Caenorhabditis elegans: one gene and its partner. The protein of the gene in region 1 interacts with the protein of each later gene in a pairwise test. Each region holds a gene or a part of one and is shown on either strand. Other genes may lie near its edges. The genes, in order: srv-5 and end-3.

Region 1 (16,815 bases):
TCACTTTTTCATTAGAATACTCTGATTAAAGTTTTGAATAGTTAAAAATTATGTCTGAAGTTTTATTTTCCATTACAAATGTTGTACTATTCTTTTCCAGATTTTATATGTACCGGTCAATTTTTTGTTTTTCTCGTATTCATTACACCCACGCGGAAAAAATTAGCTTCTCTACCCTTCAGTGTTTTGTTGTACCCCGGTATTCTTATCAGACAAAAGGGCACTGGTGGGTATTGTCAGATTTTTGAACCATGTGACTTTGAATCGACCAAATTTTGTAGCTTTGTAGAATAAAAAAGAACAAAGTCCAACAACGTGATCCATTCGACTATCCGCAATCAAAAAGCGACCTTGTTTGAAATGTGTCCATAAATTTTGGAGGAAATTGCTTGACCACACATGCATTCACCAAAAGAAAAACCACAACATCAACCATCCCAATTCTCAGTTTAAGAAATAGAACAAACAAGTGAAAAACACAGCAGCAGCAGCAGCTGATGGTTGATTGTAATCAAAAATATCAAAAAAGAAAACAATTCAAACATTATATTACACTGGGTATACTACATTTGTTTCCCCCTTCCCTCACTTCATCCTGATGTTTTTTTCAGAAATATCTATCACCAAAGAACATTTATTCAATTTTCTGCTCGAAAAACTCTAAATTGACAACCAACAACATTTTGAATTTCCTTTGTTCGCAATATTTCAGACACGTTTTTAGGGTTGTTTATGAAACACTGGTTGCCCGGTGATAACACTTGTTGCCACCTCAAACATATGTGTCTAAAATTAGTTAGATAGTATCAAACAGCTGACACAAAGAACTATCACAATTATAGATGAATCTGCAAGAAGGTTACTTGTTTTGGCTGACTTTTTTTGAATGGCAAGTTAGGAGAATCGCGTGATGGGAATAAACAGATAAATATGGTGAGCCGAATGTGCATCATTTTGTGGGGTGACTTTTTGTTTTATTTTTTTCACGTCGTTTCGTTGAAAACTGATAAGAAATAAGCGGGAAAAAGTGTTCGTTGAAAACCTAGTCTGATCATTTGATATTAAAATTCCAAGAACAAAATGGACAGTTGATATTACAAGAAAAAGAGTTAAGTAAAGACATACGGCACGTAAAATGATAATTTGGATAAGATAAACTCTGAAAACTGCAAAACAAAGGCGTGACAAAAATTTTGGTTAAAAAGTTTGTAAAAAAATCAAAATTTAAAAATAGTGCCAGAGGGGAAAATTAACAAAAACCACTTTTATGGTGTCAAAATTATCAAATGTTATATTAAAACTTTTCAATTTTTTTTTTGAAAAATTGTTATTGGAAGTTATTGTAGCGATAACTGTATTCTTGACATTTTTAAGAAAACTAAAGCACTCTCGCATGTTTGAATTCTTACAATGGTTTGATATTAATTTTCGACACAAAAGTTGATCATAAAATTTTAAGGAAAATGTTTTCTTGACCGATGACTTCCAAAAAAGTGGCAAAACTTAGTGATTATCAGTTATTGGAACATAATATGAAATTTTTATTTTGGCACCATAGAAGTGATTTTTAATAATTTTCCCACTGGCGCTACAAAATATTATATCAAAATGTTGTTGCTGAAAAATGTTCTGAATGAAATTTTCGAGGTGCTAGTGGTACCTCATAAAACATTTTTGTTGCTAATTTGAGGTAAAATATACATTTTTCAAAGTTCTGAAATTTTCGACGAGCATTAAAAAAAACATTCAAAAATTGAGGTGCCAACTTGTTGTTACTACATTTTGTTGGACAATTTTATCGAAAAATGGTTCAAGTTAAAATGTTAATCTTCCAAATTTTTCTCAGATGACATCCGAAATATATTCTGCAAACTTTCATATCCAGACAACAACCGGTCCCCCGTATTTTCGGAAGATTGCGAATTTCTCTCTCAATTTTATCTTTTCAATCCCTGCTGCCAACAACACAACACACCACACGTGTTGCCTTTTGTTGCCGATGAAACCTGATAAATTTTCAATGGACTTTTATCCAACACTTTCACACATTTGTTATAGTTTCAGGTTTTTTCATGTGTTTATGTCTTTATCGGCAGCAGTCACCATCAAGTAGTCGTTTATTTTCAAATTGTACATCGGCAAAAAATCACAAATAGAAACAGTGTAAAGTGTAAAGCAATGTGTTTTCAAATGAAGAGAGTACAAATGTTCCTACTCTAGTACAATATATTAATTAATTACAATCACATCTTGTAGATGATAGAAGTTGGGAAAAGAAATTATTTAAAAACGAAGGTTTGTGAGCTTTAGAAAAGCGCATTGTCGGTCTTGTTCTTCTTTTATCAACTTTTCGCAGTTCAATTGAATGAAGTCGTCACTGTTTCTGGAACACTGAATAACCTAGGGATTTTTGATAAACTACAGCTATACTTACGGGTTCGACACTTTTTCGGTTTTTGGGAATCCGAATTTCAAGTGTGTCGATTCATCGTGAATTCGGATGTTCATTTTTGGCTGGTCCATCATTTTTGGCTCTGCTGGGCGGAAGGTGGCTGAGCTGATTCTGAAATTTTCAATGGTTTTTTAAAAAGATTTTTACTATCCAAAACTTACGCTTCTCTTGTCATGAATTGGTTGAAAACTGCAGATTGAGCAACACGGACAAGTTTTGGAGTCGACATTTTCAAATTGTTTGTGTGTATTTGTGAAACTGAATATCAGGTGGCTGATGAGAGGCTCAGTCTTCAATAGCCTGCTTTTATACGCGATCTACGCCAAAGAGGCGGGGTGGCGGCTCCGATTATCGGGGCGAAGACGGCGAGGACAAAGTATACGATCGGTGATGGGAAAGATAAGAAATAGTGTGGGGAAGCGGTGGAGATGCGACCCGGCCCCTTTGGTGGGAGTATGAACAGGTACTCTTATTATTATGTTCTCCAATTTTGGTCATTGTTTTTGACAAGTGATGTCATGCCACGTAGCAACAACCGAAAGTTTGCGAGGGGAGTAAGGTCCGAAGTAAGGTCCGCAGGAAACAATGAATGAAATGAAGGGATCATAGATTATTAAGGGAAACTGATAAGGCACAATGAAAGGCAATAGTAAATGATCTAAAATAAGTTCATGTTCACATTGACTAATTGGAAACTGAACTATAGTCAGAGGAATATTGTGATGTCATTAATTCTTGGATTAATTTTCTATTCAACTGATTGGAACAGGTTTTTTCGACCAAAGATTATTTATTATCACTGAAAAATGACCCATAAAGTGTTCGTTGGGTGTTGTCAGAAAGCTAGTGGAAAATGTTGTAAAAAACTAAGTTAATAAACTAACTGGTGATGTTGGAAGTTACCGAACGCGGAAACCTTTGGCACCTGGCAACTGTCGGCTGCAGGAAGTACGGCAACTTTGCAACAACATGGCATTCAAGTTGTCTAAGCTTAGATCTTTTGTATATCATATTTTTGTCTTTTTTTCAACTTTTCGAAAAACATTTCTCACAAATACCTGAAGTTGTTCCTCAGAAAAAATTGAATAAATCCAACAAAGATAATCGAAAAACTTTAGATTTAATGTTTTCAGGTCAAGCTGATCTTCTGAATATAACTTTTTTTGCGCCCACGCTTCCAAGAGCCCAGAAGCTTAGACACTTTTGTTTTGTATGAACAGTTGAATTTAGTACTGTACTTTCATGCACAAACTTTCAGATTTAGAAGTGAATTTTTTGCCATCTTGCAATTCACGCCTTTTGGAAGGTACAATAAACATGATTGATGCTAGAAAAACGTGGAAATTTGCTGGAAATGTTCTATGTGAACAACAACGCGTACATCTGACCTGCAGAGAACAGGTGTCACTATTTGGACCGTGATCTTGGCCACCGATCTTTTGAACCTTCTCGACGAAAACGATTTTCTAATAAACAAACATCATTTGTGACTCTAAAAGACCAAGTATAAACTGAAAATTCGTCACATTTTATAAAAGAAAACAGTTCAAGTAAACGCGGAAAATATCAGCGTCTGTCAACGGCCAGTGGAGTTAATTCGAGGACATGTTGTCAAGACCCCTCACTTCTATAAATAGTAATAATCTTTTGTTTACATTCTTCCAACGGACAATTTAATATTACTGTATTGATAAATGATGGAAGTTGAGGACAAAATAAAACAATGAAAACGTCAAAAAAGGTGTTTTGCCTGTAATAACTTTTATCTGTAAAACTTGTGTATCAACAACTCTCGGTTCGAGCGAAGATTGCTTCCCAGAAAACACTTGATCACAAGTGCGATGTTGTGGAAAACAATTCGAACCGGTTCCGATTTTTCTCGATATTTTTGCAATGTAGTCGCACAATAAAACAAATGTGTCTGGGTTTTACATTGAGGCTTCAGTTTAGAATGTTTTTAGAATGTGACAAGAAATTGAAGAAAAATTATCTTGTTGAAACAAATTAGGATAAGAAGATTTGAACACTTGATAACATTAATTTTACATAATGAAGTTTTGGTTTTAAGCAAGGGTCTTTACAAATCACGTTCAGTTTTTTTTTAAATCTCATTACAAATTTTTACAAATCACTGGCGTTAATTTATATTCAGGAATACCCTTCTTAATCTATGATAGTGGAAAACTTTGTGAAGAAAACTGTTGGGTGACATTTTGTTTTTAACTGCATCAATCAAAAACGTCAGTTTTCAAAAATGCATGTTATACTACTTTGCCCGAATTTAAATTCCTCGTACATATAACTCTCAACCCATTCGTCTCTGTCTTTCAAATGCAACACGTCAGCCTGTTGCCACCACCCGGCCTCTTTTCTAACGGACCAATTACAATTGTGAATTCGAGCAGAACCACTTATGTAAATGACAGCTTCATCTTCTGGGTGTGGCGGTTTACCAGTTTCCCAGTGTCCCTCTTATTCCTCACTTTCAAAGCTCTTCTTTATGGATTCATCGTATGATTCATATTACTGCGAGGAGCCCGAGGAGCGACAAACTGCTTCAATTCGTGAGAGGAAGAGAATGTGTAGTATTAATGTGGCATTTATTGTAAGTTCAAAAAAAAAATTTTTTTTTTTGAGGTATTTCTATTTTTAATCTAATTTTCAGGAGCTCCGCAATTATATTCCAACATTTCCTTATGAAAAACGGCTCTCTAAAATTGATACCTTGAACCTGGCAATTGCATATATCAATATGTTGGATGACGTTCTGAGGTGTCTTTTTTTGTTGTATTTTGTTCCGTGAATTGTTGAAACGTGAAATTCATAAAAAACTTATGCTATTGATGAAATGTAAAAAGTTGAACTATAATAATAGGGATTAAAACTCGCGATTTTGAAAGTCTATGAGTTTTCAGAAATAATTTAACAAAATTGGTTATATATCCAATACTGTAAAAAATGATACCTAAATTTGACAGCATATTGAAAAAAATTAAACATTTTTCAGTGTTTTTCTTTCTAATAATATTTTTAGTTACTCCAAAAGTTTAATCTAAAAAAAAATTTTTTTGGGAAATTTTGAAATAGAAAATTAGAAAATAAATGTTCAATGAGTTTTATCTCACATGTATTTCTTGAAAAAAAAGGGTTGGTTTGATGTATTTCTGAAATTATCTAAATGTTCAACTTTTTGTTACAGTTTTCAGTGTTCAGTTTTTTCCGTATTTTGCGATTGCACCAAGTACGACTAAAATAACAAGGAAGTTATTGCCACTTTCATTGCTTAGTGAAATAGTCTCATTCTCAGAATAAATCAGGTTATTATGTTTCGAACCGGAGTGAAAATTAATAAATAAGAATTGAAAAATCTTTTGGGTTACTATAAAATGGATTATCGTAGTTCTACTAAAATGTTAGAGTCAACTATAATTGCAAACGAGAACTTAAGGTAAAATTTTTCAATAAATGTAGAAATAAAATTTATAAAAAACCTTTGAAGTTATGTGTTTTGGGACCTTTTTTTTGAAATTCACAAAAATATTTAATTCCAGAACACCCGAAGATTCTGGTCAGTATATTCAAAAGTGTGTTCATATGGCTCGCACAGGTCAAATCGGTGCACCAGCGTGGAGTACAAGTGGTATAGTCACAAACTTGCAAAACCCGGAAAAAAAATCAAAAATTCAGATTTGCTAGCCCGGCTCAATTGGATCAAGTGGCGTCGTCTTGGAATCGAGCCGATTGCCTAAACAAACTCTGTGTATGCGTAAACGGCAGAAAGCAAAATACCTTTTAATTGTATTTTCCACGAATACAACTCATGATTTTCTATCTTTCATTTCAATAAACATACTGATTACATTTATTGTGCCATTTCTTTGAAAAACCTTTAAAAATCTTACAAAACACATCTAGATTTTATCGTAAACTCTGGAACCTAAAATTTTCCTTTTCCAAAGCCTCAATTTTAAAGAAATTTCAACTAGGAAATGTCATGCGTGACTCCACCTACATATATAAACTTCGAATTCTTTTTCTGACTTTGATATTCTTGATCTTATCATCTTCACGTTTCTGTTTCATTGTACTTTTTTTTTGAAATTAGAGAATTTTTGAAATTCACACGTTTTTCCACAAAATTCATTTTCAGTTCCATTTCGGTTCTTACACAAAAACCAATGAAACTACTTTTATACAAATTTCTGCATAGGTTTTATCGCGTGTCTTGTTGATGCCATATTCTGAAACCAACAAGTTTTGCGATCAAAAATGAGCGTTTCATAAGAAAGAAAATGCGAAAAATGACTATTAAGAAAGCGTTATTATATGATTAAACTGCCACCGATAACGACTTCCATTCCGCAAAATACCTTACCCGCGCAACTTATAATAAAATCAGTTCCAAGTCTAAAACAGATTTCATTTTTTCACGGCTTCCAGTATCCGCCTTTGCCTGCACTTTTTCGAGCAAGCCAATTTTATGACCACCTCGTGGTATTCTGCATAACTCGACACAACAATAAATTATAAAGTTTGTTGTTTACATTGTTTTATCTTACTTTTTCAGTTTAACTGATATTTCTGAGCATAATATTTTCGAGTAATATTAAGTTTGTAAAGTTTAGTTTTTAATACATAATTGTACTTTAACAATTCTTCTAAAAAAAGAGAGTTCATACAGAGCAACTGTTAATACTGTAAATAGTAAAGCAATTGTATGTGTAAATGTAGGAAAACGAATCTTGTTTGCTCATATCATTTGAAATCATCAGATTTTCAAAATATCACTCAAAAAGCTGTGTATTATTCTTTGTTCACATGAAATCTGGAATCTGCCAACGCAAAATGAGTAACAAGAAAAATTTTGGGTGCGCGTCTATAAGCTTTCAGAAAAATCCTGCATGAAACTAGGATTTTCTCCTGTTTTACTTTTTTTTTCTAAGAATACTTTTCATCAAGAAAAGTAAATGGTGAGAAACACTAGAATAACTTCTTGAGGAAATCACTGGAAACTTAAAGGTGCACACGCAAAATTTTCCTTTTTTAAAACCACCGCATATTTCTTTGGAAAGTTTTTTTGTTTATTGAATGTAAACAGTACGACGGTTGCGGTATAGTTATAAGTTATAGGTCCGAGCAGGTGTTCAGACTCCGTTCTCTAATATTTCTTTAAAGTATTATTTTTCACAAGTGTTCCAATAGAAGTGGAAACAATAAAAGCAATGAAAAATATGGGGATAACAAGTCACTTGGGAATTCACACTAATGTATCACCTTCTAAGAAAAAAAATCACATAACAACTATACAGTTTCCACTTATTAACTATTTTCATACTTATTTAGTTTCGTGTTATAGTTTTCATAGTTTTTTAATTTGTATTAACATTACCAGAAACTTCACTGCACCATAAAACTTAACACTACTTTTCTATTCAATATTATTTCAGATTATGCCGGCTTTGCAATGGTTTTTATTCATTTCCAGTTTAATTTCAATTTTAATTTACACTATGATCGTTTTCACTTTAAAACGTCATCGATCAAATGCTCTACTTGGCGGTTCCTTTTTTAGAATTGTGGAAATGCAGGTAGATCTTTGAAATATAAGTAAACATCACACTTGATCAGAAATTTCACCAGAAAGAAAATTATATTATGGAGAAATATCAAAAGATTAATTTTCAGTATTATGCGGAACTATTTTTCTTCGTCGAATTTTCAATCACCATGCGCTTCAGAAAATATAGCTCGCTTTATGCATTTTTCGAGCCAGACACGGAATTTCACGGTATCATTCCGCGTATTGTGTCTGGATTTCATTATTATATTAAGGTAAGGTTGAATTCAAAAATTACATTTTTCTATTTTTTCTATTTTATTTCAGATTGTGGTATACATTGGGTATCTAACGTTTGCTCTGAATCGACTCACTTCCGCACTCAATATATCATCATATAACAGTGTGAATATTTCAGTATGACATTAACTTTCAATACTTAGCCCTAGTCTTCTTGATCTGTCAATGAGTTTCCTTCGTGTGTCATTATCAGTTTCAACGTGGTTTTGCATGTTTTTCAACCAATTCAAAATTACTCATTACAAATAAATGTTTTTTTCAGATTTGGACTCCAAAGCTTTTACAGCGAGTCAGAATAGTGAAATGGGCACTGCCTTTAATAGGAATTCTACCAACTCATGCTTGGCCGGGTTTTACTTATTGGTTTATGATAACTTCTTCATCTATACGATTAACAAATGATTCCTTATCCACAGCGGTATAATGCTTACTGAGAATTTGAGATAATAATTACTTTATAATTTCAGCTTGTTGCATACGTTGACGGAATTTGTTGTCTTGGAACGTGTGTTTTCTGCATGATTTGCTATACTGCAACGTGTTTCTTGATACGGAAAAATTGGAAACGTGTGAAAACTGACACGGTTTGTTGAGTTCAAAGTTTATTTTGGTAAAACTTTAAAGAACGATCCGTTACCACTTTGGATCAGAAAGTCAGGAACAGCCTCCCCAGGTGGTGCTTCCAGCTATTGTCGTCCTAACATAAATCAAAATCTCAGCCTTAAAAACATTTAGAAAAATATCTGTACTTTAAGGTATTCCGAAAAAACAATGCACAATCTGCTGCAGAAAGAAGTCTACTTGTTTCCGCCATTTTATCATTTATCGTGTTAATATTGAACACTGCTGTACAAGTTGTTACCATTTTAATATCCTGGGGTGGTGCGACAACATTACTTTTTGTTCAAGACCTCTCGTAAGTCATAGTTTTTCCAGAAAATTGTCATCACAAACCAGGAACTGGAAAAAAATTAATCTCATTCGACCTTCTAGAACAAACACATTAAATATATAAGAGTGTTTTGCTGTGCCCAAACAGCTGGTGAAACTTTAATAATTTTCAGATATCCTATGATTGATCTTATGTATTCCCATTTTCCATGGGCGTTATTAGTCACGTCGGGAGTTCTGAGGAAGCAAATGATTTACGATACAAAAATTTTCCTACGAACGTAATATTTATCTGGTGAAGGGTAGCATCTTTCAAAAAATGTTTTAAATTTCAGGGCTTTCAAGCTTGACGATGCATCGGTGAACACAATACGGGTTGGGCATACTGTATCTCCCGCCACACAGAAAACAACAAATAGGACGCTGGCTTAATTGGTTTACGTGTAGTTTTAGGCACTTTTGAAACAGCATTGTCACTGTTAACTATTGTTTGGAATGTTGTTATAAAAAATTTGAATGTGTACTCATTTAATTTACAACTGAATTATGGGTTTAGCTGAATTTTTCAGGAAACAAAATGTTTTTTACTAAGGAACAACGGAAGGTCCAAAGAATTTCATGAACAATTACAATGGGAAATTTAAATTCACATTGTGAAAATTTTTTTACAGCGACTTTCTCATAATAAAGTCTAATTTTGAGCAAAATCATTAGAGTTTTGAACTCACCGGTTTTTACTACCTTGTTTTGTAGTAAACTTATCAGAGTGAACCCAGTTTGGCTTTTGTGAATGAATATAGCAGTTGCATGATCAAGACCCAATGATGTATGGGAAACACAGTAAATTAATGCAAATGGGAATGCAATGTATTGTCATTGCAGCGGATGTGGCAAGATCACCACGCATCTCCAAAAACCGTATTTGGAATTCTAATTTCAAGTATCAGTGTGCTAATTTACAAACAAATAGTTAGTTTTTGGTCCAAAAGTTCACAAAATTTTATTTAAAATAGTACTGCTATATTTGAATGATTAGACTATTTGAAATATTCTCAAATGTTTTCATGGTACACGTGTTTCAAGAACTCACATTTTCAGTGAACTTAATGTCTAATTTCTGCTTTTTCAGATTTTTTTTTGTTGATATTTTTGGATTTTCGAATTCTCAAGTTTCATCAATTAAAAAAAAATTTAATGAGTATGAAATTTGTTTGGTAAAACAAAAAATCTCCAAATGTTAATCCTCTTATTCCTCCCAACCATTGTGTTTCTCAATTAGACAAATCGTCAGTGTCTCGAGTGCCCTTCGTCAATCGATAAACTGACCTCTGTCTTCCCAACCAACACACTGAGACGCGCTCTCCACACAACGCTGGCCTAGAATTCTCCATTGCCGCGTCCTCTCGACTGCACACACATTCAAACACACACTCTTTGCCCGGTTTAATACAGTTTTGCATTTTTCTCACGAATAACGACGGTTTTTTTTTTCCATTTTTTATTGTCTGTTTTATAGAATAAAAATGAATGCCAACGATTTGTTTGGTGGCCTTAGTGAGAGCAGTGGGAGCAGTGACGAAGACGACGACACTGTGATGCCACAACCAACAGGCGCTCACAATGTGCTTGCAGATTTGGAGCTCAGGTAATCTTTGCTTATATTATTAAAATTATATCATATTATTTTTTCAGCGATGACGATGGAGATGAGGATTTTTCAAGAGATGGAATGCGCTCTGACGAAAACCAAATTTCGCCGGGACAGGAGTCCGTACCAACTCCGATCACACCGAGAGCACCAGTCGTCTTTTCACTTTCCGACGGAGAGGATTCTATGGATATGCCGGACATCGACCAGATGATGATGAAACGGAATGCCGCTGCTGCCGCGGCCGCTGCTGCAGAAGAGCAAGCTGCTCGAGAAGCTGAAGCTGATAGAGTTGCGGAGGCGAACAGAGCTGCGGAAACCGCCAAGACTGCTGAGAAGCGAAAAGTGAGTCATTTCTTGTTTCCCGACGATGTATAATTATAATATAATTGTAGATTGATAAAATTTCAAAAAGCGAGCCACCAAGAAAGCAGCCACGTCATGATGATAACTCTGAAGCTGGGCCCAGCGGGCAGATTTCGGTACGTAAAATCTGTGATACTTAACTAATTCAAAAAGAAATGGACTGAATATATTGGTTACCCAATATTAATCGCCGATGAAACACTTTTCAATTACAGGGAGACGACGACCTTCTGGACACAAACATTTCGCTGGAAAGCTTCGACTTGAGCAAAGTAAACGATGCAAGGTACCAAGCATTGATTCAACAACATCAGCCGGAAGAAGAAGCGTAAGATTTTATAGAAGAAGTATCGATGCGTTTATATAAGAACAAAAAGCACCCAAACGGACAAATTTCGTATGGAGACTTCTCAAAAACTTCCTCAAATTTTTTTGACCGTTCACAATCTTGAGAAAACACTAATTTTAGCCAACATTTCCAATTTTGCAACGTTTGCGTGTCGCAGCAGTATATAAATATAAATGAGTAGAATCCAGAATTAATATAACTCCTTTAACACGCTGGCACATTCGATTATCTAATTTATTCATTTTTCAGGCCTGGCCCCTCACGTCCAGCACCAGCTCGTCCAGCGCGGAAACTTGACGATGAAGAAGAAAATGAGCTTTCGCGATTGAAGACACAAGTTTTGCTTTCCAACTTTTCACAAGAGCAACTGGAAAGATATGAGTCATACAGACGGTAATATTGGTAATAAAACACAAAAAAATAATAAATGATGAACTTCAGCTCTTCATTCCAAAAGTCGACTATTCGCCGTTTGATCAGTCAGTACACTGGAGGAGTGAACGTTGGACAGAGTGTGGTCATCGCTATCGCAGGATTGGCTAAGGTGTTCGTCGGTGAAGTTGTCGAAGAAGCATTGGATATTCGTGACATAAATGAGGAAGAAGCTAGCAATCCACTACAGCCGCATCATATTCGTCAAGCGTTCCTCCGGCTCGGAGAGCAAGGAAAGCTATTCCCACCAATTGGTCCGAAACAATCCCATCTTGAGTGAATAATTATTTTTCTTTGGTTTTCCGTTTCATTTTTATTGCTTTGTTTTACATATAATCAGATTCTAATGAAAAAAAGTAATCACTGACTGCCTATGTGGAAACAGAAAACTTTAAGTTACATTTTGACCGGAAATTTGTTTCTCTGACATTTCAAAAAATGTCACGTGCACAAATATCAACATAGAACTAACTAGAAATATATCTAACCAACTTATTTTTTCTGAAAGCAGTGATCAACAATTTGCCGTTACATAATTGTAGATGTCGGCGCAGTTTAGTTTGACACGGACACTCGCCAACTCTCAATGTGCTCTGACCAGTCTGACTCGCGATGCCTTTGGAGCAAACGTTGCTTTTCATATTAGGCCTGATTTCAGCTCTTTTATATTCAATGATTGTGAGAACACTTAGAAAACATAGAAAAACATCTCTTCTCGGAGGAACTTTCTTCAAGCTTGTTGAGCTGCAGGTATAATAACTTTCTCCTAGAAATCTTTTTTATTAAATACTCTTTACAGTTTTACGCTGAATTAGTTTTCTTTATCGAATTTTCGATCACAATGCGGTTCCGAAAGTATACAGATTTTTACATGCTGTTTGAGCCAGATACAGTATTTATTGGTATTATTCCGCGAATTATTTCTGGCATACATTACTACATTAAGGTATATTTTTTAGTGATCTGGAAAACGTTTTCAAAAATTAAATAAATCCGCCGAGTTTCATAATCAGACCTTGAGAAGTCGTTAAAAGTCGTTAAAACATAGTTCAAAAAAAGAGTAAACTATGAATAATGCGGTAATTGAGCTTACTAGTTCTCCACGTTTTTGTACGTAGAGACTCCGGCTTTTTTGAGAAAATGTATGTTAAAGCTCATAAGTACCAAAATTCGTCATGCTTTGTGCACCTGAAAGTCAACAAACTATTATACAAACACCAACACAACCCGTAGAATTAACGATTAAAATGTGCAAAATGAATTATAAATTTATTAAAAATTATCTTTCAGCTATCTAGTATAGGCTAGTAAAAGTGGAGGTTATAGCTAAATTTTAACTTTTTCTGTTCAATTTTTTGAATTTCGGAGTTATGTAAAAAGCAACTAACGTAGCTACTTTGCTAATAAAAGTAATCAACAAATGCACATTTTCCAGCTTGTTGTCTACATAGGTTATTTGTTTTTTGCTGTTAATCGACTTTTCACCGCTTTGATGGTGTCTTCATACGACAAGGATAACATTTCGGTTTGTTGAAATTCCAAAATTTTCAATATTTATTATGTCTTTCAGGTATGGGGTACAAAAACATTGCAGCGGATAGCCATTGTTCAGTGGTCTATTCCAATTCTTGGACTTCTGCCAACACATGCGTGGCCCAATTTTGACTTTTACCTTCTCATTACTCCAACTGCAATGCGGCTGAATAACGATGCAGTTTCAACAGCGGTATTCAAAAAAAAATATTAGTTGAAAATTATTGTTCAAACTTCAGCTAATTGCCTACATTGACGGAATGTGTTGTTTGGTGACTTGTGCATTTTGTATGATTTGTTACATTATAACAATGATACTCATTAAAAAGAATTGGAAGAAAAGCTCAAACACGGTACAAAATTTTCAGATTTTCAAATCAGAGGTGCGCGGCAATTTTTCATAATTGCCGATTATCGAAGTTTTCGAAAATCGGCAAGCGCTAAAATTTCCCAAAAAAAGTAATATTTTCTGCAAATTTAGGCGCTTTTAAATTTGTTTTTATTGTTCACTTTTTAAGTTGAAAATTCAAAAACCATCGAATGTTTTTTTTTTTCATATTTGGCAACTGTTGCAACTGCCCGAAATTTCCAATTACTGTTCATCCCTGCTATACCATTCAATTTTAAGGTCTTCAAGAAAACAGGCGCAACTGCAGAACGAAGCCTATTCATTTCTTCATTTTTATCGTTTTGTGTCCTAATGCTAAACTTGACTGTGCAAATATTGAAAATTTGTATTTCTCTGGGTGGAATGACGAATATATTTTCAGTTTACGATGTTTCGTGAGTTTATCCAAAAACAAAAACCGTGACTTGTCTCACTAATCCCGGTAGTTGAAAATCGTTGTAACTCTGAATTATAATTTGTAGGTATCCCATGGTGGACTTAATGTACTCACATTATCCTTGGGTACTTCTCGTGACTTCATCTGTTCTTAGACGTCAACTTATATACGATGTGAAGATGCTTATAAGAAAGTAAGTGGATTTTTGTGTGCGTGGGGGTCATAATGAAGTTAAACTTATAGCTCACTGAAACTGGACGAAGCATCAATGAGCCTGTCTCGTGGCGGACAAACGAATGCCGTCTCAAAAACGACACCTGCAACTTGACCAAACAATTTTCGCTTTCGTTCTATATTTGGAAGAATAAAGACCACTTTGTTCTCATGTTTTTTATCTAGGATGCAATCTTTTTTCTTATTTCACGGTGTTTCTCTTTTTTTTCCCGATTTTTTTCCTGATTCTTCAGTGGCTGCCTGCATAATTGCATAATTTCATTAGTTTAGTTTAGTTTTTTTTTAAATTTAATTTTTTAAGCAGTATGGGATAAACTGATTTTTTAAATGAAATTTTCAAGGCTCTGTTTACAGTATAAAAAACATGGCAAAATCAAAAGGATTTATTATGATCCTAAATATTCAAATTCAAAAATTTCCGAATTAGAGGCGATTCGGGCAGAATTTTATTTCAGACTTGTTTTGTTCAAACCAGTATCTATCGCTTTGGATTTTCTGGAGTATCACAAGTGAGGGATGCACTTGAATATAGTGCTAGAAAAAGCAAACATTCTAGTTAAACTTTTGAAAAATGTCGGACATTTTTTATTGTGTTCATTTAAAAAGTTGAAAAAATCCGTTTGTAATTTTTTTACAATTTTTATACTAAAGTTTAGCTCCTTTGTATCTGAACATCGTAAAAGTTCAAACCAGCAACATTACTTAAAATTTCACAAAAAGTCCAGATTTCTTGAACATTTTGAATTTTTTGTTATGATTTTTGAGTATTTATTTGTGATAATGATGTTAAACTGCAAATCTTCAAAAATAATGCTAAAGCGCTAAGAGACCATTTTGTAAAAATTTGGCGCCGTCGTAGAACAGAAGTAGAAGAAGAAAAACAGGCAGTATTAAAGTCGTCTATTCAACTTTAACAAAATTTTTAACTCTCGTCTATGTTTGAAGCTTGAGATATAAATTATTTACATAAACATAATACATAAATATAAGCCAATCAAAAAAAAATTCGAAGATTAATTCAATCATTTCCGCCAATTTACTGATTTTTATTCAATTATTCGGGGTAGGTACACAAATTTGTCAAATATTTGGTTTCTATCAAAAAAAAAACTTGTGTTCACAAAATAACGTGAATCTATCAAATTGTGCTAAATAGGAGAATAATCAAATTAAACAATCTTTTCAGCCGCTTACAGGATTCCAAAACTGAAGATTTTTTAAAAGTTTATATTTGATGTCAGAAAGGAAAAATTACACAGCACAGAACTATTCAATTTATCCAAAAATGCAATGTTTGATTCATTTTGTTTTGCAAATTTTTTTTTTTAAAAATAAAGTTATATGGACATACATATAATACACATGTTTTCTGTTGTAAGCGAATTATTATCCCTTGTATATTCTCACACATTTCCGCCATCTTCCATCTTAAAAATAAACATACGGCGTACGCCGTTCCCTCTGCTGCTGTCCCACTGCTGCAAGTCCGCAATGTGTCGTCAATTCCGATGTGTGCACCCGCGGTGACGTTTGCGGTACACACACGCAAGTTGCTAAGCCACACACGTTCGTCGACTCTATTTCTCGTCCGTGCTCATTGATTTTTAGAACTTAAATTAGTTTTTACAAATAATTTATTGTTAATTTTCAGGTATGAAAACCGTAACCCTACTACTGGCGTTAATTAGCCATGTAGCCTCTAATCTTTTAATGCCCGGAATATACACAGAGGTTGTAGAAATTCAACAGGGAAAGGTAGAGTTTTGTTAATCAAATTTTAAAAATCAATCCTCATTTCTTTAGTATCAACTGATTGGAGTCCCACAAGCTGCTCTCAATGGAACGGTCGTTCAACTTGAATTCACATGTGATCCGGAAGTTGAACTTGAGTTTGATGTAAGTTTTCAGCTATAAATATTGATTTTTTTTTTTGAAGTAATTCAACTTCATCTAATTATTTTCCACTCGGACGTAACATGAGTCAACTATTATTTCGAAATCGATTATTCAAACTCCTCTTATCTATATTTTTTCTATAGCTATAATTTTCAGACTGAATTTGTCCTTCGCTCTTCGCCATGTGACAAGGAATTCTTTAACACGAAGGAAAACGAGAGACGCCAAAATCTGGTCAGAATATATGAGCTGGAAGAAAAAAAAAGTATTATTGTTTTTTTCAGGTTTTCTACTTCAACGAAACAAATCAAAATCATATCCCTGATACATTCGATTACAACGAAATAGTGTACTACAAGTCTCCAGTGCAAA
Region 2 (16,114 bases), on another chromosome or scaffold:
TTCCTGTTATTTCTCTCTGCATAGAAGTTTCGATTTCTGCTTTATCCCAAAAAAGAAACCAACAAAAAAAGCTCGTCGACCTATCTTTTTCGTGTGAAACCCGACACCTCATGGCTTCTTCTTCTTGCGCAGAAAAGGCATGAAAAGACATAAGAAACTAGTATTGTTTCTCTTTTATTCGATTTCTCATTTCCATTGACCCCATTCGTGGATGGGAGAAAGTTAGTTTCCAGTTTCAAGAAGATTTTGATGGAAAAAGAAAGAAAAAACTTACAGAAAACCGCTATAGAAGTGTTTGGAGCATCAACTGTGAGCCCAATCTGTGATATGATGTTGCCTGGACCACCGAGAAGACGGGCTTCGATGAATAGGCAGCCCGCCTCTGATAAGGTGTTTAACGGCAGGAGTGACATCTGAAAATACAGACATTTATATTTTTTATTATTTTAAAATGCTAAAAATTAGAAAAATCTTGAAAATAAACATTTTCGGCAGTTTTTCAAAAGAAAAAACTAACATTTCATTCGGAATCATCAATTCAGTACTCCTCCGACTGGCAATTGACTCCAGTTTGCATAACCTGTAAAACGTGAAACATTTTGGAAGCTTTACGGTGAAAACGAAAGAGAAAATGAACAAAAAGCGACGGATTTGAAGAGAAAAGTACTATATGTCGAAATTTTGGAAAATACGAATAGAAACATTTTTTTTTGAAAAAGGTAGAAGAAATGTTTCGATTTTTTGCCAAAAATACAGGTACTCGGTCTCGACACGACAAACTTTTGTTAAATGAAAAAGGATGTGCGCCTTTAAGGAGTACTGTAAGTTCAAACTTTCGTTGCTGCCAAAAAATAGTACTTTAATTTTTTAAGTAAATTTTTCAAATAAATACATCGTTATCGAAAAACTATGAAAAGTCGATAAATATTCCACAGCAACGCATATTTCAAATTACAGTACTCTTTGAAGACGCACATTCGTTTGTATTTTACAAAAAAAAAGCGCATAGATACCGGGCATCGTATTCTTGGACCAAAAATCGCAAAATGTCGCACCTGAATAATAGGAAATTAATAGAGATAGTTGTTTTTTTGCAATTTCAAATCTATTTTCTGGTCTGTAAAGTGATCCATGTTTACGGTTGTGTAATAAATAAATTTCTATAGAATGCAATTCTGATTTGAAATCAAAAGAACCAGAGTTATTTTTTATGATCAAAAGCTCAAAAATTCAGTAATCGACAGGTGAAACATAATTTCAGGCACTATAAAACCAGTAATTAGCTGTATAAATGTGAGTGGTCTGGAGAAAAAAAAAAAAAGAAAACAAGACAATTTTCCAGAGTGATGAGAAAAACGAGGAGGAAGGGGAAAACACAGAAAAAAAGTCTTCGGCCTCCGTTAGTATTGGCATTCTGCCAAATAGAAGAAGAAGACTGAGGACACGAATGAGAGAGGGGACCCGGCTCCCTTCTATTCACTTTTTCTCTATTTCTCTCTCTCTCTCCTATTCCGCTTAGACGGCTTCAGGCCGCCGCCGCGGAGAGAATGCGCGGACACTAGACATTTTCAGCTTCTATGTCTCTCACTTATTTTAGTGTGAGTGGAATTGAATGGGAAAGAAATGAGGGATTATGGAAGACAATGAGATACGCAGATGGAGAGAGATTCATTGGACTAATTCCGCAGAAAAGAATTCACAGGTGTGCAAAGTGTGTGCTTTTTTCACTACAGTGCTCTTCAGTGACGAGAAAAGTTTAACTGTGATGAACCAGATTACTACCGTGATTAGTGGCACGATTTGAGAAAAGAAAAGATGAACTGAAACCAAAAACTGGGCTTGAATGATTATACCGTAATCCTCACTTGTCTTCAGTTAGTTCTCTTGCTGATTTTAGCAAACTGAATACGGTTTTGGCGGTTTTTTTGGTAATGAATGGAGCCTTTCTTAATTTTCGTCTTTTGTTAAACTGAGACTTCAAAAGAACATGTCGTACGGCCTCAACAGACACTGCCAGATTCATCTCGCTCCTACTTTTCAAGCAAGTCACTGTTCAATTGGATGCTCGACGAACGATTTTTCGCTTGGGTCTGACAGAAAGAAAAGGTGTGCGACCAGAAGACTTTTTCGTGCAATAAGCGGCAGGATTGGAAGTATATCGAGTGATCATATCTCTCAAACGTTTCAAATCACGAAAAATATGACGATTCGAGAAGCCTTGAGATAATTTGGCACAATTTGTCCTTTTTCGTAGTCAGTTGAAGTTATTCCACGACCCATAGCTGTAAAAACACAAACGAACATGAAACTTAACGTTTAGCAAAAAAAATTGCAAAGAAAACGAAAAAAGAAAACAAAAACCAAAGGTGGCCGTTTCATTTTGTGGATTTTTTAATATGGTTTTTCATGAAAAAATGGTTTATCTTTTTTACGAACGGTTCAGGTATATTTCCAATACTTATCTGAAAGTAAGTTAGTACAGCGAACATTTTCACAAGAAACTATGTTTTGCTATCTCAACCCAGTTTTGAGTTATACCAAAATTTGGGGGTGGCCGTATCATTATGTGGAGCACTGTAGATACTAGAAAAAATTTATAACATTTTTCTAATTTCTAATGATTTTTTTTTCAATTTTTTTAAATGGAAAAGTGGCCACCAGAAATACGATTTTATGGAAAAGTGGCTCTAGGGCCATTATATTTTTAAAATTACAGAAATATTTTGAAATAAATTCTCTAAATACTTTTAGCTTTATATTAATGAAAAACTTAGTTTATAAACATATAATATACAAGCTCTACTGCAAAAAGAGTTGTTTGCTCACCATGTTCGAGAACAAAAAGCTTCCACTTCCGGTACACATCTGTCAATTGCCATTGGGTCTCGAAACGATCATGTCAGTTTTTTGTTCAAGTTTGCAAGGAAAAAAATGCGATTGGCCTAAAAACTGACGCAATCGTCTCTACAAAAGATCAATTGTCTGTGGCGCCCCGCCAACGAGAAAACTGTACTTCAATGCCGCCCATCTATCTCTCACTTTTCACATATCGATTGCAATAGAATAGACTGAATTAATAGAAAAGAAGGTCTCGAGAAGAAGAATTTCAATGCCTACAAGAACTGACGAACACAGAACCTGAAGAGCCTGTGTCGTTTTAAGGATACAAAAATGAAAAACAAGAAATCCGCGTGCCAACAATAGGAAAAGACAAAGAGCAAACAGGAAAAGTGGGGGACAACAGCCAAAACACAAAAATATATTTCAATTTTTTCCATCAACATCAATATTTATTTTCTTCAAAAGATCTTATATTAAAGAAACAATCTTTGAAACAAAACTGTTTCCATTGCAGCCGAGTTACACAAAACGCAATGATAAAACTAGATGGATATTATTAAAAGTTTGGAGGGAGATGACAGTTACTGATTAAAACAAAAATAAAATATGGGCACAACGCTCAAAAAAACAAAGAGTAAGAAAGTAAAAAGTAAAAAAGAATAAAAATGAGGAGAAGTTCAGAGTTCCATTAAAACCGAACGAACGAGATCTGAATTATCGTTTAAATGTCGGAAGTGAGTGAGAAGATATGTAGATCGTCTACCATCGGCCACCTCCACCGCTGCCTCCACCGTATCCTCCGTTGTCATATCTGAAAATTACAGGATTTAATTTTATTCGAAATTAGGTGCGATTTCAAAAATCCGTTATCATATTCCACTTTTTTATTTCTAATCACAAAAACACGTACCGTGGCCTCTTTGGAGCAAAGTTATCGTTTCCTCCGTATCCTCTCTTCTGGAAACCACCACCTCCATAGCGACCCCTTGAGTTGCTACCTCCGTAACTGCGGTTTGCCATATCACGAAGAGCTTGTGGAACAGTCTGCTTAGCCTCATCGAGAACCTTCAACAGATCCTTTGCCTTGGAAGCGTTTGTATGAGTGAAGAAAGTGTAGGCGGTTCCCTGAAAAACAAATCATGAAATATTGAATTTTCTCTACTAATTTACCTTTTTGTCACTACGACCAGTACGACCGATTCTGTGAACATAGTCTTCAGAGTTGTTTGGATAATCATAGTTGATCACGAATTTGATATCATCGACATCTAAAATTGTTAAATTAAAATTACTGTAAAACAAATTAGAGCAAAAAGCGTGAACGACGCTTTCTCTCAACCAGGTGAACCAAGAAGAATAAACACGAGTGAACCGAAACAGTGAATTGCCATTTAAACTCCTCTCTCCGGATAAGCCGGGAAATAAATCCATTCCAATAATTTTTTAATTATTAACAGGTTCCAGATGCGTATAAAACCTAGTTCACCAGGTTGAGAGCAATCACCACAGGGAGACCGCCGATACAACTCTGACTAAGCTATACGTACTTACGCACCTGAACCCAGAATTCTAAAGATGGGAATGGGGAAGAGGAGAAAAATTCGACGGAGTCACTGATGAGTCATCGGAACAGCCTGCACAAGCCACAACAGCACTCAATGTATATGACTGCAATACTGGCGGCTTGCGAAACTGAACCGCTTTCTTCGACTCGATGTGTAGATTTCATTCACAGAGCACCAGAAGGTACTCTCTGCCACTACACATCTGCAACGTATGATATGATAACGTCACAAGACGCTGCCAAAATCAACTGCATTGCATTTCGATCAATCCTCTCGGCCAAATCAAGTTGGTGTAACTGTAAAGGGTCAAATAAATCACAAATATGGCTGAATACCATGCTATTGTAACGATTGTCAAGAAAACTGGAAGCCAGAAACTCCTGAAACCGACTTTTCTAATATGTGACATCTAAAATTTGACCCTTTCTAGGTTGGCGCGACAAACTAACCCAATCCACGCGCGGCAACATCGGTGGCCAACATGATTGGTGTTTTTCCTGCTTTGAATTCTGAAAAATGTATTTATAACAAAATAATTGGTAACTTTAACTAACCTTGAAGAACCCAGTCTCTTTCTCCTTGGTTTTTGTCACCGTGAATACAGAGAGTTGGCCATCCATCGCGACGCATAGCACGAGTCAATTCATCGGCTTTCCGCTTTGTCTCAACAAAAATAATGGTTTTGCATTCCTTTTGATTCATGATATGATTGAGGAGCTCCATGAGTTTGGCTTGCTTTGCATGTTCTTCGAGAATATCGACGACTTGTGTGATGTTGTGATTGGCAGCGAGCTCAAGGGATCCGACGTTGAGGAAAGCAGCGTCTTTCTGGAAATCTGAAGCCAACGCACGAACTTCCTTTGGCCATGTGGCGGAGAACATGAGTGTTTGTCTGTCTGGCTGAAAAAATATATATTAAAACACAATTACAACAGATTCAACTTACGCGAATCTGTCCGATGATTTTCTTGATTTGTGGTTCGAAACCCATATCAAGCATACGATCGGCTTCATCAAGAACCAAGTAAGAGCACTTCTTCATGTTGGTAGTTCCGTTATCAAGGAAATCGAGAAGACGTCCCGGAGTGGCAACAACGATATCAACTCCACGCTCGAGATCACGAGCTTGTGGTCCTTTGGATGCTCCTCCGAAGAGACAGGTCATCTTGAGTCCTAACGAGTGGCAGAAATCGATTGATACTTCTTGAACTTGTTGAGCCAATTCACGAGTTGGAAGCAAAACAAGAACGGCTGGTCCTTCTCCGCGTTGACGGTGAGCCTGTTTTGTGATGTGGACGAGAGCTGGGAGCATGAAGGCAAGTGTTTTTCCGGAACCAGTTTTGGCGATAGAGATAATATCACGTCCGCTCATGGCAATCGGCCAGGAGATTGACTGAATAACTGTTGGTTTCTGGAACTTTCCGTACAAAAGCTCGTGAATCTGTCCTGGCAATGGTGCCTCGTTGAATTCGAAAACCGGGCGTGGGACACCACGGCCTTCGAGAGTAACTTGATTTGCTGATACCCATTGATCAATCTCATACTGCTCACGGCGGGATACGGCTGCATTCTCGTGATAGAAATCCTTCTCAATCGGAGTAAGGTTCTCGGCAGACCAGTCGACATCGCGAAGGCGTCCTCCAGCTGAACCATTGGATCCTCCACGACCTCCTCCACGGCCACCGCCGCCATAACCACCTCCTCCGTAGCCTCCACCGCCACCTCCTCCATATCCACCACCACGACCACCGCTGTATCCTCCGCCGCCGCCACCACGGCCTCCACCTCCATATCCTCCGCGGGATCCACCACCGCTGCTTCCTCCATAGCTTCTAGAACCTCCGCTGAAAAAGAAAAACAATTATGCACGTCAATAATCGATAAGTCAACTTACTATCCTCTGTCTCCCATTGTCTTTTTTATATGAGTTTGAAATGCGAACTTCTGGTCGTGCAACGGCTGCTGCGAAAATAAATATCGACTTCGATTAGTAGACCTCTCGTTTGGCTCGTCTTCCTTTGATACAGAAGCACGCGCTGACGAATTACAAGTTTTAAATTGATTCGCAGCGCTGAGAAAACGAGTAGCAAACGAGAACGGACGGATTGAAGAGACCCAAATTTTCGACGAAATTCGGTTGTTTTACCCTATAAAACACAAGTGGGGCCAAAATAACCAAGTGAGTATTTTGCGTCACACCGTGCAAGAAGGGGGAAAAATAATGGGAAAAACAACTTTTAAATCGTTCGAAAAATCGAATTTAGAAAGAAAAAACAGAAAAAGATGAAAGGTTTTGGGACAAATGCGAGAGACGAAAATCAAAAAAAGCGGGAGAAGGAGGTGCAAAGCGGTTTCGCTGTGAGACCCACCGCACGTTTAATGTCATGCGCCTTTAATCCAGCTGTACGCAGTGACGTCACGAAATACTGAAAGCGTCACGTTTTCTAGCGAATCAGCTGATATTGATTTCAAAAATCTTGAAATTGAATTATTCAATTTTTTCTCGTTCTAAAAAGTCCAAAAGCTTTCAATAATATATAAAAATCAATAATTTCGTAACCCGATGTCTGGCATTTCTGGTAAATTCTAGAATTTTTCCAATTGTCATCATTTCTTGTGTTTAAAAGTCTATATTCTCTCGTTTCCTATCAATATCGTTTGCTTTATTCAGCTATGGCGGAGTTCCCAAATCTCGGAAAGCACTGTGAGAGCACAGTTTGCAACAGACTTGGTAAGTCAACATTTAAAAAAAATTAATTAAATAAAAAAATAATTATTTCAGATTTTCTTCCAATCAAATGCTCCGGTTGTGGACATTTCTACTGCTCAGAGCACTTCACATTTGAGGCTCATAATTGTCCGACTGGCTCAAGAATTGTAAGTGTTTGAAAATCTTTTTTTAGATTAAAATTATTAAATTTCAGTCCGTTCAAGTTCCTATTTGTCCTATATGTGAGAAGCCAGTTCCAACGCCGAAAGATGTCAATGTTGATCAACAAGTAATTATTTTGAAATTATTCCTGCAAAAATATTGATAAAAATTGTTTCTTTTTCAGGTCAATGAGCACATTCAGAACAATTGTCAGACTCCGAAACGTGCAAAAGTATATTCAAACGCGTGTACCGTCCCAAAATGCAAGAAGAAAGAGCTGGTAGCCATGAATTGCTCAAAATGTCGAAACAACTACTGCCTTTCTCACAGACACGAGCGGGATCACAGTTGTGAGCGAAAAGTTGGCGAAATGAAGATAAATCAGAAAAAGAGCTGGACGGATTCGTAAGTTTATTGTTTTGAATAAATCGAATTTCAAGGTATTTTTCCAGAATCACATCAATCGCGCGTTCCCGAATGAATCCATGTTCCGCACAAGCAAGAACAGAGGTTTGTATCTATTTTCAAAAAAACAACTAACTAAATCACAAATGTTTCCAGGGAGATGAAGCTCTGGCTCGTTCTCTACAACAAGAAGAATACAATCGAGTTGCACCGCCGCATCAAACAAGAAATTCCAATTCCAACTGCACCGTCTCATAGCATCCAATTTAGTGTATATTTATTTCCCTTCTCATATTTTCTGTACAATTTGCATTTCTCTTCAACCTTGTTCTAGTTCATATCCGTGTCAAAACTTTTATTCATTTCACTTCGCCAACTTCAGTCCTACTAAAATATTGATTCTTTGTACAATGTTGAATACTTTTTCTTTTTTCTTGATATATGAAATTGTTCACCTGCTTTGAACTGTTGTTAATGGGTGTTCTGGGGTTCACAAAGTAAAATAAGAGTTTTGCAAACTTTTGACTGAAACGAAATTTGGACTTTTCAAACATTTTTTACCTAATTTTGAGAAATGCATCTTTTGGCTCAAAGGTGAGACTCACTGTGTAGGTCTCGACGCGAACAAAAAATATTTCGCGCAAAGGCGTGTGTTCCTTTAAATAGTACTGTCGCCAATTAATTTTTGCAGTTTCTACAGTATATCCCACGTGGTGTCAGAGTGTCCCATATCGGTTTGATCTTCGTAGATCTACGGGAATAGCGGTAATTTGACGCAGATTTCTCAACTACCAAAAATATTTGTTGGTTGAGAATTGAACAGAAAAAGAAGAAGAAAATACAAGCATGTCGAGCTTTACACAACTTTATCTAATAAATATTCAATTAATTTGGATCAGTTTTCTCTTTCAGCAATTACAAAAAATTTTGTTCCGTTAAAATTGTGAATGATTGGATTTGGAGAGAATCGAGTTTTTGGAAAAATAAAAAACAAGAGCAACGTGTTATGGTATTATTCATGTGATCTTTTAAAATGCAAACGTGTATTTTAATTTAATTGTTCCCCTATCAGAACCTCTCTAAATTTCACGTGTTTCAAATTCCCTCTTTTTCTCTCTACTCTTTCACTCTCGCACGTGAAAAACTTCTTTCCGAATGATAATTTGTGTTTAAAATGGAAATTTTATTGAAGTAAAATTTATGAAACAAATACTTTTAGTTTAAATCCGAGATGCACTTCTATTTGAGAGAGCCCACGGTAAATTAAAAAAGAAGTAAAAGTATACCAAACAAGTATGTTCCAAGTGTTCCGATGGCTCCGACAAAAGAGTATACACTGATTGTATAATCGGTTAGATGAATAGCTGAAAGTATACCACGTTCAAAGCACACCCCGCCTTGTGTCTCTTCTAGAAAAAGGCGGTTGCTGAAAAGTATACGGAACGCTGAGGCACGCCCTCTTCTTACCATGATTTGCTCCAAGATAAATGAATAGGCATTCTCATTCAAAGTATAAACATGTACTCGAACTCATTCTCTTCATCATCTTCATCTTCCAACTCACCAATGTCTTTTGATTTTGGATTCCCTCAGTTTCCCGAACAAGTCCAATTCAATGAAGAAGGCTACGGGACACCATCTCCAGATGTCCTCCAGAATATGAATTATCATCATTATCCGGCACAAGATATGACGACAAATTCATACAATGGAGGCTATGACAATTCAATGCAACAGAATTTTATGCAACCAGATAATGGTGCAGGATACTACAGTGAGTTTTAAAAAACTATTTTATTTTACTTTTATATTTAAAATTAATGTTTCAGATGAAAACTATCAACAGATGCCTGATTTTCAATTTCCAGTTCAAAATTTTGATTTTACAAATCAATTTGAATTCACGACGCCTATTAATGGTATAATTAACTATGAAACTTACAGCCTAATCTTAAATTTATTTTAGACCTCCAGCAATCTCAAACTTCCATCAACCACACCAATCCCGACAACAATGAAAATTCCATGCCAGAGATACCAATTGACGGGGGCTTCAACTTTTTTCCAGCTCAAGAAGTTCAAGAATGGAAGCCAGCTAGAAAAGCTTCGAAAAATAAAATCAAGAAGATTTCCACAATGCATATCAACTCTTCGTGCTCCAATTGTGGATGTCGGGAAACGAAATTGTGGAGGAGAAATGAGCAAGGAGAAACTGAGTGCAAGTAAGTTTGAATTATTTTGAATGTTCTATTTAAATTACGATTACAGTCAGTGAGAAAATGTTTAAAAATCATTCCTATGCTGATAAAGTTACCAGATACCGCAATGAAACTTTTTATCATCTTTTTGAAATGTTTTATTCATGTCGAAAAGTAGTAAAAACTCTTTTTTTAACCACTTATCGAGAAATTCAAAGCATTGTCTGTTTTTTGATCGACGATTTTCAAAAAAAAATTGGTGGAAATTTTTTTCACTATTTTTTGAGGGCTCTCTAGGTGTAAAAGTTTTGAACTTGAGTTTTTTAAATCTCATATTTTTCAGTCCGTGTAATCTTTACGAACGAGTCAAAGGACATAAAAGACCACAACATCTTTGGAATAAGCCAGCTGCCAAGAGAAGACGCCGTCCAGTTGCTCCACTTGTTGACTCTAATGCTTTTAATTTTTGATTTAACTGATCAACTCTGTGCAATAAGCATTATTATTTTTCTAATCAAACATGACCTTTCGGTTATAATTTAACTATTTGTTTTATTTCCCCTCTGCTGGTTTCCATAATAAATAAATAAAAAAACTTCATGCTCTTGATACTACAGTTTTCCAGATCAATTGTGAATTTCGAACAGCTTGTTCAGATTTGAAATGTAGTGTTGCAAGAATTGATTTCCTGTGTGGAGTGTGAACAATAAGCATGACTATAGTGGAAAGAACTCCATGACATGCAATTGCAATCATCGCAATGTTTGTGGCAGCTGGAAAAATGATTTTTTTTTTCAAATTTCAGCTTAATTTTACCTTGATTATAGTAATCATTTTCCGAAGCCATGACAAAATATGAAACTGGTAATGAGATGAATGCAACTGGAATAAATATTTGAATACACATTGAATAGAAGAATTGCTTTTGTAAGCGAGCAGTAGTTGCCGAGAGAGACACTGTTTGGGAAAAGTATCGAAAAATTGCTCCGAGAAAATACAATTTTTGGGGAAGACATATGAAGAACATGCTCAAAAGACAGGCATTGACTATTGTATTATCAGTGGCAAATACAAAATATTCCCGACGATTGAGAACTTCATTTGGAATACATGGATTTATCTGTAATTCACTTTTTGGTTAAAGCTTTCAAAAAAAAAACGAAAACTCACATTTTTCACATATTGCTTTGCTACTTCAGGATTCGGTAGTTTTAAATATGCGGGAATAATAAACGTCACTGATATAGTATAATTTAATACAACATATAAGGTACGTTTCCAGTTCAGTGATCCGTTTGTTGTATGCCCATGTATTAGTCGGTGATAGCGATCTTCGAAGAATATGGTTACAGCCACGCACATCACTGAAATATATTGAATTGTTCGGTTCCTCTCAAATTGAATAATTTAAAAAGGAATAGTAGCTTGAAAACCCTAGAGTAAACATTAAATTCGTAACTTGGGGAACTTGCTGTCAAACTTTGGCAGTTCTCTGTCCAACCTTCCAACAAACTTAGTCAATCTTCTGCCAAACTTTGGAAACTTTTGGTCAAACTTAGACAACCTACTGTAAAATTCTGGGATTTTTCTCTCAAACCTTGACAACTTACTCACTCTCGGAAGTTACAAAGGTTCGACAGAAAACTGCCGAAATTGGACAGAAAGTTGTCAAAGGTGCGTTGCCAAAATTTGGCACGAAGTTTTCTTTAAATAAAAAGCCAAAGACATCACAAAAAAATTGGGAATCAAATAATTTGTTATTGAGATTAGATTAATTCATATCGAAACTGAAAACATAATAAAGCTTCTGTTTTCAATAAGACGTTTTATATTTATTATACTATTACCATTAGTTAGCCAATTCAAAATAAACTAACCCCCAACAAAAACACATCCAAGATAAACCTGAACATCAGTTGGAATACCTAATATTAAAGAGAATCCAAGAGGATATCCTGAACTGACAGGTAGTGTTAGCATTGGAGATGCAATAAAGCTTAGATATAAATCGACGATTGCTCCCACAATGTGCAATAAGACCATGTTGAACTTTACAGAACATATTTTGCGCGGAGTTTTAGTTAAAATAATATATGCTCCGAACAATTGAACGGTCACTTCGATGGCTGTAGGTACGTGAAGAATTCCAGCATAGAACTCATCAGTCGCAAATAAATTAATATCCTCGGTGCACATTTTGAGGTATTGAGGTAATAAAGTAAATCACGGAGAGAAATTAAAAAGGGATAAAAGCTCATAATTTAGCTAGGAAACGTTTTCACCTGTTCTAAAACTGATCACTCAATAGGATAAGCTTTTCGCGTCTGAGATCTTTTGCACATGTTCTTTGGTAGTTTCCATCTAAACCCATTCAAACATATGAGATCAAAAGTTAGTAAATACTTTAAGCAAATTTCCAACAAAAAAATTCCAAAAATTTCCAAATGTTCGAGATATTGAAAATTGATAACCTCATTAAAAGTTTGGGCACAATTTTTAAATTTTCAGTCGCACTATTTGTAGTTTTTAACAATTTGGTTGATGCATTAATTGATTTATTAAGTGAAAAGCAGCTGAAAACAAACCACACAAAAATGTTTTTTCCTGGTTCTGAGATCTTTTGAATTAAGAAATAACACCTGACCCATTTGGGTCAAATGATTTTTCGTAATTTTCAAAATTGTCTTAACTTGATAAATGTTTTCCACTGTCTATAAAATTGATAATGGATTCAGTCTGTTCGGAAAAAGATTTATATTTTACTTGAAAAGGAACAAATCGTGTGAAGATCAAAAGTGATGATCAAAAGTTTTCCTTGAATTTTATCGCGATTCCCATAATTTTTGCTTCTGGTCGTTGACAAGGAAGACAGTTTAAAAATCTAAGAAATTACAATAAATATTTAACATTTATTTCAGCTTTCAAGAAAAAACCTCGAACAATATCAATTAGTAGGAATTTGTTTCAAAGGGAAGAGTATTAATTTCAAATTAATGAGCAGCCTGAGCACATTCGCAGTTGGCACACTTGCATCCTCCGGCACATCCAGATTTGCAGCATTTCTTCTCACTGGCAGTTGGGCAGCAGTATTGCTCACAGCACTTGGCGTCGGAGCAATCGCAATCTTTAGTTCCGGTGTTGCAGGAACAATTTTGGTTTTTGCAGTCTGGGAAAGGGGGTTTCATTCAAAATTAATTAAAAGCGTAATGAAATTTCAACTTACCACACTTGCAGACCATTTTTGAGTAGAGCCTTTGAAGCTTGATTCTCATGTCTGCTGGTAGGCCTTTTATATAAATTTTCAAGCGACAACCTATTTGAGGCAGCTGATAACAGCACAAGCCTATCACAATGTACAGTCACTGATAAAAGCTTTGAAAACTTCATTCAAATTTATCCAATTCTTCTGAACTTTATGAAGCAGTAAGTACATTGCGTGCACAATTATTTGGATTTTTGAAAATAAAATTTGATAGATTTTGAGCTATATTCTGAGAAGTTGAATTTTCCGTCACAACTCTAGTTTGTGATAGAGGCCTTTATCAGTTAGGTGTGTGAAGTCATGCCTCAAACATACTTGGTCACCTGCAGTACATAAAATTTCAGGTACAAACAAGATTACGGTAATTACTAGCTTTTCCTTGAAAATTAGAAATGAAACATGTAATTTTCCAACTACTGTACTTTTTAGAATAAAGTAGTCTCTGATCTACTCAGCTTCAGCTCATTAGCTATTCCATCAATTATTCTCACTTCCATGGTTACATCCCACGTTTGTTTCGTTCCACTGAACCATTTTCGTCTCTTTTTGTATTCTCTATGGGACAAAAAAGTTCCAGAACCGCTCCAGAACATGTAGAAGGTTTGAAATATTATTTAATTTAGAAAAGAAAACTGAGATTTCAGAAGATAGACATAGCGCCTGGGGAAGTGATATTGATGAAACATTATGTGGCCCAGGAACTCTTTGTGCAGGTTTGTAATTTTATTGTTTAACTTATGTTTAACCGTAATTAAAAAATTACCAATGTCAAATAATACTACACCGGTAAAGCGGGGTCCCCAAAAACAACCCTTCTGCGGCTGACTGATGAATAGGCTATTTCGGGCCAGCGGGCAAACTTCGAGGCTTGCTATTTTAATCCTGAAACAATTCCAGGCAGAAAACAAGAAAAAATTCTTCCTCCTTTTAGACACTATCGTGATATCCTGCCTTACCCGTAAAAGTGATTCAATTTTAAAATTTCAGACGACTGGACCCCATTCAACTCTGTGCCAACAAGCCCTGATTCTGTCAGAAGGCGCTTTAGTGAAGCTCGTCTTCAGGAAGATGTTATTACAGAGCAGCCAAGATTATTTGACAATCATTCTCGTGAACAAGATGACGATAGAATGATGAATTACGAAGTGATGACTATTCGGGAAGTTGAATCACCGATTATTCTACCTGGTCCAATTTACACAACGGAAACACATAAGAAGAAAAGAAAAGTGAAGAAACAGCCAAAGCGAATAGTTAGAAGAAAAATGAGAAAGCAAAGAAATACTTCAACTTCTCGAAATACTCAAAATAACGAGGATGTTACTGTATTAAGAAACTTTAATAGTATAAAGCACCATCAAAAACCCAGAAACATTGCATATCGTCCAAGACATCACTCCAGAAAAATTCGGTGAGCTCTGACACTCATTACACAACCATTTAAAATTTTTCAGAGTACATCAAGACCCACGTTATCCAACAATTCCTCCACCTACTATCAACTATGGTCTTAAATTCAGGAGGTGCCATCCGGATGATGTAAGTTTTGTGGATTTTATAGGCTAAATAATTCAAAATTTTCCAGAAAAATCGATTTGTAAAAGCAGTGCCACCGAGTCATCTGAAAGGAAAGTCAATATCCGCAAAACAACCATTTAGATATCGGGGAATCCCAAAAATTATAATGTGATTCCTGCTTTAATTTTTGAAAGTTGTATAATCAATTAAAGAATTTGAGAGCTCAAAAAATACCTTTTTACTTTTATAAAAGAAGAACAAATGAATATTTTATATGTAGTCACGTATAGATAGTAACACAAAATTAACGAATTTAATAACTAAATCTGAAATATAGAACTACAAACGTCTCTAGTATAAAAAGTAATCTGGCGACCACTGTTTTTTTAGAAATTAGAAACTTGATACTGAACCTTCAATTAAAATGTATAGTTTTGAGTTTAGCTTGTACTTGAAAAAATAATTTATTAACATATCCATGCTTGAAGTCGAGAATTCAAAAACATGTGATATCGCTGATAAGCCCTCATATTGCACGTGTTCCGAACTTCTTCCATCGAGCAACTGCTCACAGATTGAAGTTTTGAGCATTTCAACTCATGAAAGATTCTATCTGAAAGATTTGAGAAAGTTTTGAAGGCTCAACCTGATCCCAAATATCAATTTACCACAAACAGACAAAAAACTCAATAAATTTGCCAAATATTACTTTTTTTGAAATTCTACAATTCTTTCTAATTTCCTCATTTGAATTGCATCTGAATTTGACTGAACCACACTTATTTTCCCGTGACTCACTTTCGTTTTTATCATTTTTGCAACAATTTGTTTTATTTTTTGATATTTTTGATATTTTTTATTAGAGGGAAATGTATCACAAAATAATTTTTTTCACAGAAAACTCTAAAAAATATTTATCAAGTTTGTTGAATTCGAGAATACTTAATGTTTATTGGAGATAAAAAATTAAAAACTTAAATTTCTTTCAAACTTAATAAACTGTTCAAATTGTTTTCATATGGTGTTTCATTTTTTATTTTGTTTTATTTTTCAACATCTTTCAAACTCACATTAACATCGAGAACTGTTTCCATTGACTTTTTGAAGCATTTTCCATATTGGTCCTTCATTTTTAGAGCACATCTCCAGAAGATTTTGCTTGCAAAAAATTGGTAAAAACTGCAAAAGGATAGTAACTTCTCAACGGATTTCGCATCGTAGTCCATACATCTTTTGAGTACTGGAAAATTTGCCTAAAACTAAAATTTGGGTAGAAAAAATTGATTTGATTCACCAACCTCTATTGTGGAACAATATCCATTCATTCGTTCAATTTTTTTCGGGTTTTGTAGACTTGTTGAATTTTTGAAAGCAGCAACGCCATCAAAAGCATTGAGACATTTTTCTAATGCTGCCTGAGTTTTCGCTGATGTGCAGAATGAAAATTGATAGG

What was found.
Region 2: the proteins of srv-5 (region 1) and end-3 interact in a two-hybrid assay, tested with the Caenorhabditis elegans proteins (one large-scale study listed by BioGRID).

What each region holds. Positions count from the first base shown.
Region 1 is NC_003284.9:4,244,454-4,261,268, forward strand, and holds srv-5 (Serpentine receptor class gamma), read left to right. Parts: upstream 1-7,902; coding exon 7,903-8,040; intron 8,041-8,137; coding exon 8,138-8,284; intron 8,285-8,336; coding exon 8,337-8,426; intron 8,427-8,571; coding exon 8,572-8,727; intron 8,728-8,776; coding exon 8,777-8,893; intron 8,894-9,064; coding exon 9,065-9,225; intron 9,226-9,373; coding exon 9,374-9,481; intron 9,482-9,535; coding exon 9,536-9,632; downstream 9,633-16,815. Other genes in the region: F48D6.4 (28S ribosomal protein S36, mitochondrial), read right to left, coding at 2,284-2,383, 2,435-2,563, 2,614-2,681; hlh-13 (Helix-loop-helix protein 13), read left to right, coding at 4,872-5,057, 5,118-5,224, 6,004-6,092, 6,140-6,201; taf-11.1 (Transcription initiation factor TFIID subunit 11), read left to right, coding at 10,724-10,845, 10,893-11,193, 11,244-11,330, 11,430-11,542, 11,813-11,956, 12,005-12,275; srv-6 (Serpentine receptor class gamma), read left to right, coding at 12,608-12,745, 12,795-12,941, 13,431-13,520, 13,566-13,721, 13,768-13,881, 14,157-14,311, 14,399-14,506, 14,557-14,641; C52B9.4 (GOST seven transmembrane domain-containing protein), read left to right, coding at 16,201-16,302, 16,351-16,443, 16,600-16,677, 16,728-16,815.
Region 2 is NC_003283.11:14,005,500-14,021,613, forward strand, and holds end-3 (GATA-type domain-containing protein), read left to right. Parts: upstream 1-9,195; 5' UTR 9,196-9,201; coding exon 9,202-9,457; intron 9,458-9,512; coding exon 9,513-9,602; intron 9,603-9,649; coding exon 9,650-9,905; intron 9,906-10,224; coding exon 10,225-10,351; 3' UTR 10,352-10,478; downstream 10,479-16,114. Other genes in the region: ric-7 (CRAL-TRIO domain-containing protein), read right to left, coding at 275-413; ddx-17 (RNA helicase), read right to left, coding at 3,601-3,652, 3,752-3,966, 4,012-4,109, 4,856-4,915, 4,961-5,306, 5,353-6,250, 6,301-6,317; aip-1 (AN1-type domain-containing protein), read left to right, coding at 7,080-7,137, 7,189-7,283, 7,331-7,405, 7,463-7,683, 7,731-7,788, 7,840-7,941; srh-308 (Serpentine Receptor, class H), read right to left, coding at 10,479-10,654, 10,698-11,001, 11,052-11,245, 11,759-12,077; mtl-2 (Metallothionein-2), read right to left, coding at 12,872-13,047, 13,105-13,120; T08G5.1 (Titin), read left to right, coding at 13,701-13,743, 13,788-13,856, 14,131-14,554, 14,598-14,682, 14,729-14,833.